2 linked regions of the Xenopus tropicalis genome follow. The protein of the gene in region 1 purifies or fractionates together with the protein of each later gene. This does not show direct contact. Links are inferred from orthologs where the notes say so. Each region holds a gene or a part of one and is shown in the gene's direction. Other genes may lie near its edges.

The links. Proteins that work in one complex are often made in the same cells at the same time.
Region 2: the proteins of zcrb1 (region 1) and larp7 purify together in Homo sapiens (affinity purification with mass spectrometry; 3 studies listed by BioGRID and IntAct, counting the BioPlex papers as one, with this or other methods). This does not show direct contact. The link is inferred for Xenopus tropicalis from reciprocal best matches to the Homo sapiens genes ZCRB1 and LARP7.

What each region holds. Positions count from the first base shown.
Region 1 is NC_030679.2:64,850,738-64,854,846, forward strand, and holds the start of zcrb1 (zinc finger CCHC-type and RNA-binding motif-containing protein 1), read left to right. Parts: upstream 1-1,309; 5' UTR 1,310-1,313; coding exon 1,314-1,397; intron 1,398-2,061; coding exon 2,062-2,090; intron 2,091-2,522; coding exon 2,523-2,634; intron 2,635-2,720; coding exon 2,721-2,828; intron 2,829-4,109.
Region 2 is NC_030677.2:68,967,742-68,971,811, forward strand, and holds the start of larp7 (la-related protein 7), read left to right. Parts: upstream 1-1,270; 5' UTR 1,271-1,320; intron 1,321-4,070. UniProt on the Homo sapiens protein: RNA-binding protein that specifically binds distinct small nuclear RNA (snRNAs) and regulates their processing and function.

The sequences.
Region 1 (4,109 bases):
CCCCCCTCCCTCAAGAATGCTAAGAACTCACTCCCCCCCCCCCCTTAGGAATGAGGATATGAGCCAATCAGCAGGAAGCTGACTCATAGGGGCACATTTACTAATCCACGAACGTCCGAATGCGTTTTTTTCGTAATGATCATTTTTTTTTCAACTTTTTCGTCGCTGTTGCGGGTTTTTTTTGTATTTTGCGCGACTTTTTCGTCGCTGTTACGACTTTATCGTATATTTTCCGCGACTTTTTAGTCACCAAAATTCGGATTGGTTTTTCCGCCATTTACAATTGCAACAGCAATGAAAAAGTCGCAACATTTTTGTTTCCAATCCGATTTTTTTCCCATTCAGATTCGAGGATTAGTAAATGTGCCCCATAGTCTTACTAACTGAGCATGTTCACTTTGTCTGCATGTCTGTGCAGGAGTGAGGCATTATGGGAACTTTCTTTACACAGCTCAGCGTTTTTTCTTCCTGTTTGGCTTCTGATCATCTGAACAGGTGAAATATGGGGAGACTTAAGGGCACTATTGAGACAACTGAAGGTATGCCTGCTGCTTGAGATTAACTCTTTACTAGCCTTTCCTTCTCCTTTAACTAAAGATGTAGGATAGAAATGTTGTAAATTATGTTTTGAGGTTTTGTACCAGCCCAAGCCAACCACAGCCATTTAGCATTGAAGATCTGTGCCCCAAAACATGCTTCCAGTAGCTTCCTATCTTCTTTTTTGCCGATTCACTGCACATGCTCTGTGCTGCTGTCAGTTACTGAGTTTAGCAACTGTCTCACAATATACTGTAAATATAGAATATAAATGTCACACTATAACGTTCAGTAGTAATTACCACAGAAGATTATTGCATGGCAGCTCTGAAGCCAGTGCTATTAGTACTAGCCCATTAGGATCAGCTTATATGACAAACATCATTTTCTTAGCTTGATAATTTCTGATGACACCCAAGCTTAGTTTCTCAACAGATGTTTAGAGCACCCTGAGCATGTGAGTGTCGCAGACACTCTGACAGACGTGTCCAGTATGGTCACCCCCTGTGGAAATTTTAAAGGACTGTATTATTACTATTATAGAAATGTTGAACCTTTAGGCTGGTTAATAAGTTTGTTATAAAAAATATGGCATGTCTGACCATGTTCATTTTTAGGGTTTAATTCTCCTTTAAACATGGAAGCAGCAAACTAACACCTGTTTAATAACAAAAATGTGTATTTGTGATCATGAGATTTTCTGTTAATTCTTGAGGTATGTTACATGAGACCTGAATCTTTTGTCTCTTTTTTTTTTTTTTTTTTAATTTAAGAACATGAGTGGAGGACTAGCGCCTAGTAAAAGCACAGTGTATGTGTCAAATCTTCCCTTTTCGCTAACCAATAATGACTTACACCGGGTAAGTGTTTGTTGTTCCTCTGCTCCTGAAGAATTCTTCATTCATTTTATATTGACTCATGGTTAAATGACCATAACTGATTAAAGGAACAGTAACACCAAAAAATTCAAGTGTATAAAAGAAATTCCAATATAATGTACTGCTGCCCTGCACTGGTACAACTGGGGTGTTTGCCTCAGAAACACTACTATGGTTTATATAATGAATGCAGCTGTGTAGCCATGGGGGCAGCCATTCAAAGGAGAAAAGGCACAGGCACTTAGTAGATAACAGATAAAACACTATTGTATTCTACAGAGCTTATCCATTATCTGCTATGTAACCTGTGCCTTTTCTCCTTTTTTCCAGCTTGAATGGCTGCCCCCATGGCTACATAGCAGCTTATTATATATAAACTATAGTAGAGTTACTGTAGCAAACACACAACTTTAACCAGTGCAGGGCAACAGTACATTATATTTCATTTACTTTAAAACTCTTTAATTTTTTGGTGTTACTGTTCCTTTAAATGTAGCCCAGGGATGCCAGTCTGAAACCATTTTCAGCAAACTAGTTAATGAGTAATATTCCACATTAGTGATCTTACTGTTTTGATTTTTAAGTGTATTGTACAATAAGCATTGTTTACCATGCTGGTCTAATTGTGGGTTTTATGCGTTTCTAGATTTTTTCAAAGTATGGAAAAGTAGTCAAGTAAGTGAAGTTTGACCCTTTTTACTATTATTACCACATACTTTGCACTCTATGTCTACTACTGATGCTGTAGTTGGTAAATTAGTTTTTAAAGAAATGAGAAAAATATAATTCTAGTTAAAAGCAGATTGATTCTTTTAAAATTTTAATTTGGAAATTAGGGTTAAGATTCATTTCAGTATGTTGATTGTTTGGTGTAGTTTGAGACTGGCACTACCGTTGAACCTTGCGTTAGAGTTCAGTAGTGCAAGATAATGCTTTGCAGTGCCCAGTAATAGTGTGACAGAACCAGGCCTCTTTGCGAACTTATTCCTCCTCAAAATACACTACTAGAGGAATACTGAGGAATGATTTATTTTATAATGTGGATAAAATGAACATAACTTGTGTACCTCTCACTCTGTAAATTTCTATCCTTGTTTTTATAATAAGGGTCACAATACTGAAGGACAAAGATTCTCGGAGGAGCAAAGGGGTAGCATTTGTTTTATTTCTAGATAAGGAATCTTCACAGAACTGTGTTAGAGGCTTAAACAATAAACAAGTACGTTACACAAACTCTGAATTTGTTTTATCTATTTTACTAATTGGCTACAATTAAAATGTGTAACTTGTACCTTTTTCATTTAGTTGTTTGGTAGAGCAATTAAAGCAAGCATTGCTATAGACAATGGCAGAGCAACAGAATTCATCCGGAGGCGAAATTACACTGATAAATCCAGATGTTATGAGTGTGGGGTGAGTTAAGAAAATACTCTGGATTTTAGGGACAAATTCTATGCCATTAACCATTTATCTGCCTGCTGTTTCACCAGATTAATGGTGCTTAGTGAAGTGTTACTGGGCAAAACTTTTTCTTGTAGTAAAACGTTTTAAACCTGGAACTGTATGTATGTGCTATTATTATTTATATAGCGCCATCAATTCACGCAGCGCTTTGCAGAATAAAGGGGTACAAAAGACAAAACGGTTAACATGTACATATAGACAATTCACAAAAAATAGCTTACAGTTACAGTTGGATAAGGATTGGAAACACTGGGGAGAGGGCCCTGCTCACAAGAGCTTACATTCTAAAAGGGAGTGTGGCTGAGACATAAAGTCAAGGTAACTAGCATGGCGTTAGAGTTCGTGTTGGTGTGTAAAGTGACAGTAAGTGCAGAGTGAAAACCAGTGGTTAGTGAGTGTATGACGGAAGATTAGGGGTGCTCAGTGGGTAATTGCATTTCTGAGGATTTAGGTTATAGGCTTGAATGAAAAGGTGCTATGTCATTGGTAGGCTGTTGCTTTGCTTGCTAGGCTGTACGTGCTATGTAGTCAGCAAGCAATGGGTCACATGGAAATTCTTGGAGCATCAGACAAATATTAACATAATTTTAGGCATCCTCAAGTGAATATAATTTAATTTTCAAAAAAATTCTCTGCTGCAGTGTTTGGCATTAGGGATGCTGAGAAAAGGTATACAAAGCACCAGTGCAACACTTTCCCTGGGCCAGTGGAGTTTTTTTTTTTTTTTTTTTTTTAAGGGCACTGGCCTAGCAGTTACATAGTGTTGAAAAAAGACCAGAGTCCATCAAGTTCAACCCTTCCAAGTAAACCCAGCACACACAACCTATACTTACCAATCTATACACTCACATATATATCAGGTCAGTGATTTATTTCAGCATACCATCTACGCGTTTCGATCACCACAGGATCGTCATCAGGATGATATATACAACCACTACCGTAATACTGACTGTAGATATTAGTATCACAATAGCCTTGGATATTCTGCTTGTTCAAGAACTTATCCAGGCCCCTCTTAAAGGAATTAACAGAATCTGCCATTACCAGATCAATAGGAAGGGCATTCCACAACCTCAATTCATTCAATGGAGGGTGCCTAACATTTTTTACGGCCCAGTGGAATAGGGTTTTCATGTGCTTTAAACAGTTTTAACATGACAGTGCTTAGTGACATGCTATAATGAATGTTGACCATGTTTAAAATATGATGGTGCTAGAGATTACAAT
Region 2 (4,070 bases), on another chromosome or scaffold:
CATTTACAAACGCACCAGCAATGTTGCCAGGACCCAGTTACCCTGTCTGAAGGTGTTTGGAATGTGGGAAGAAACCCATGTAAGCAAGGAGAGAACATACAAACTCCAAGCCCAATGTGCCCCGGAAGGAAACAAACAAAAGAGCCCAAGACTAATTTGTTAATCCTGCACCATCCTACCCACTGGCATTTTGACACCTTACTTCAAGGTATGTATGTATAACTTTTTTTATAAAGCTCTACAATGATATGTAGCGCTGTATAATCTTATAATATACAAAATTACACACAGGGAGGACAAGTGTTAAAATAAATACAATAGACACAGTAGGAAGGAGGTCCCTGCCCCGTAGAGCTTACAATCTAAGTGGTTGGGTAACATACAGGCACAAATTGGAAGGTAAGAGTGCACCAGGTATGGGCATTTGCCCTTAAGCGCAGAACTAGGCAAAATCATGTTTTAGTGCTCCAGAAGATAGTTTTATCTTAAAGAGAGTGAGTGTTTCCTATGGAGGGATTCAGGGATAGAGTTCCAGAGGTAAGGAGCAGCGAGATAGAAAGGTTTAAGACGAGAGAGCGCAGTGGGTGTGGATGGTGTAAAAAGACAGAGGCTCTGAGAGGAGCGGAGGAGATGACCAGGAATATGCAGGGAGACCAGTGAAGAAATGTAGTGAGGAGCAGAGGAGTGAAGGGCTTTGAATGTTAGCAGAAGGATTTTGTAAGCTATCCTTTGCTTAACAGGCAGCCATGCTAGAGAGATTAAATCAGGCTTAAGTTAGACTGAACAGGTTCTCTCAAGTTACTATTCCTAGTTAAGAGGAATTAAGGTTTTTGACATATCCAATATCATTATCACGGGGTTTGTTGACATCTTTGGGAACGCAAAACATATTACCACCGCTTCTTCCTCTGTCTGCCTTACCAGCCGTCATCAGAAACATAAACATTCCATCTCCCACCTTGTTCTTTCGAACAAATCGCGCTTTTTCTGACGTCATAAAAATGCGCCAAAGCCACTAACGTGTATTTGTTTTAATATTTTTTGCAGTCTTTGTTTTGATGGTTGTAAATTGTACTTTTTGTCACAGTCATTGCCAACTGCTCTTACAAGCACCCACGAACTTCCTGAACCCTATCCCATACCTTGGACGCCGGTTCGTTTCCATGGTGATGCAGGCAGCTACGGGGCAGCCTCTAAAGCGCTGCATCTTGATTGGTTGATCTGGAAATTTTATGTGTCGCTCGGCTGATGACGTGAAGCTCATCCACTGCGTGTTTCTATACCTAAATCCCGAATGACATGCGAAGTTATCCGGAGCTGGTAATGTAGTGGCGTGTGCTTGTTCTCTATATTGTTGGCAATGCTGCTATCGTGAAATAAGCGATTGTTGGGGTTACTTGGTGCACATGGGTTAGCAATAGGATAAAGTGTAGGCTGGGCGCCCCACATTCACTGGGTCCTCCAACCAAACATTGTTTTGTGCATAATGTATGAAAATGTCATTCTAAACAACTTTTTCTTGTCCATTTATTAACAATTCTCACTGAGTAGCAAAAGTGAGCTGATTATAATAGACCTAGGGGTATATTTATCATGCTGTGTAAAAAGTGGAGTAAACCATTACCAGTGATGTTGCTCATAGCAGCCAGTCAGATGCTTTGGTTTTATAATAGTTGAAATCTAATTGCTGATTGGTTGCCCTGGGCAACATCACTGGTAATCCTTTACTCCACTTTTTACACAGCATGATAAATATACCCCCTGGAGAAGAAATGACGGCTACAGAGTTATAAATGTATAATCAGAGAACAAAAGAGGATTAAAGAAATACTGCTTTCAATTGTAATTACATAAAAAAAAAACTTGATATATGTTGGAAATTTGCCTGCAATTGCATTTTCTGTCATTGTGCAAGAACACTTTTTAAAAAATATATGGATGATATTTTCTTTAAGAATGGCCTTACCCATACTGTTTCAGTCTTTCTTACTTAACACATTGCTATGAATTATAATTTTTACCTGCAAAGTTATGGCAGCCATACAAACTGTACAGGTGCAGTCTACATATAGCAGTATTTCTTAGATAAACCATGGTAAATATGTACACCGCCACTGATGGGAATGTTTAAAATGAGAACCTCTAAAGACTGGAGTACACCAAGGGGTATATTTATCATGCCACTGAAGGTGCCCAAGCAAAATCTACATTTAGGGCAGGAGGAGGTAGAATTTCTATTGTTTCTACCTCCATATCTGACAATTCAGCACTGAACATCAGTGGAGGGTGGGAACGATCTTTCCTGCACGTAAGATCGTTATTGCTACGTGTATAGCCACCTTAATAGCAACTATTAACCTACAAATTTCAGATCTGTTAATTTGTAAAACTAAGAGGGATGAGAACCACCAAAAATATGTTTTGATGACGTGTTTTTAATTTGTAACTTTTCTAAATATCCAGAATGCCTTGTCAAGAATGATCTCTGGCGAGTCTAATTCCAGTTGCACAGTATATGTCCTTTAGATTTTGAAGAGAAGTAGACGGTGGATAACTCTTGGAGAACAAAATTAATGTTGCAATATTTGATTGGCTTCTCTCTTGAAAAAGAAAATATTCCTAGCTAAAGTTATTTATTATTGTATATACAAAGTAAACAAGGTCTGTGTGACAATAAAAATATTTTTCACTTCATTCTATTAGAAGTTCAAACCATTGTACCTTTGACAGCAAACTACCTGTGAACAATTCATGATGGTGCACAGTTAAAAACTATGTTTCAGGAGATCCTTCAAAGTGATGTCAGACTTGCTGCTTGTAGCATCCACTTTCTGCTGCTTTTAGTTTTCTGGTAAATCAAGCAGGAAACAGCCCCAGTCACACAGTGGATGTCATTCAAGTTCATTTTGCACTTTGACCATTCTACTTAACATGTAAATCTAATTTCAATATGCACTGAAGCAAATCTGCACACAATGCAAGGCCTTTATTGAGCAGGGAGGAGCATAGTATCAGACTGATATTAGTTTCAATGAAGTAAAGAGACTTGATTCAAGTAAATATGTTTTGTTTCTTAGCAGTGTTTGAGGAACAAATAAAAATAAAAACTCACGTTTCACAATGTAATAGTCTTCATTAGACCGTTATCGCATTGCAAACCTTAATTGTGCATAGCACACTTTAAAGGCATGCCTAAAGGTGGTGTAATCTTTTGGAGCAAAAATAACTTTTTCAGTAAGGAGTCTTATTGTATACATTGCGCACTGGTGCAAACTAGAGTCCTGCACAGAACCAAGTTTTGAGACCTGGACCTGCAACCCAAACCCACATTTTAACCTTCTTGGACCTGCCATTCAATCCGACCTGCAACTGCCTTATCCACAACCCAATCCAAAGTGCTGTTGCTGCAAACCAGAAGCAACATCATCAGAATGGGAAGGGGTAAAACATGTTTAGAGTAAAACATAATAGATAAAAGATAATATAAGATACGCAATCTAGAATAGTAACCTGTCCCTGTGTCTGAAAATCCAACCTGCAGAATACTGCTTTTTTTTGTGGATAACCATTAATACTGACTTGCTGCAGGACTCTACTACAAATGACAATATTTGCAGTCTTTCTTCACTGGTGGAAGTGGTCACTGAGCAGTTTTTGAGTTCATAAAAGCTATATTAAATTCACACAAAGAAAATTTGTTTGTGCAAAGGTATACATTTTTTTTTATTACATTTCACTTCTTGCCTTCTATTTATTTTGCCTTTAATGGAGTCACAAACTGGAGGAATAGCATATATAGAAAAAAACACATCTATTTTAATCTGTTTTAATTCCTATAATTGTGAGCTACTCTATTGCTTGCACTCTCATATATAATCCATTGACAGAGTTTTACAAATCAACACTTTGTAGTGTGCTGACACCACAGTTAGCAATTCCACAGGCATTTACTCCATGCTGACAGTCTGTGACACTTTCCTGAAAAGCATTGCTGTCAATGTGAATGACTTGAAACTGTACCAGCAGCCTAATGCAGTCTATGAAGATACCTGTATATCTACACAATTCAT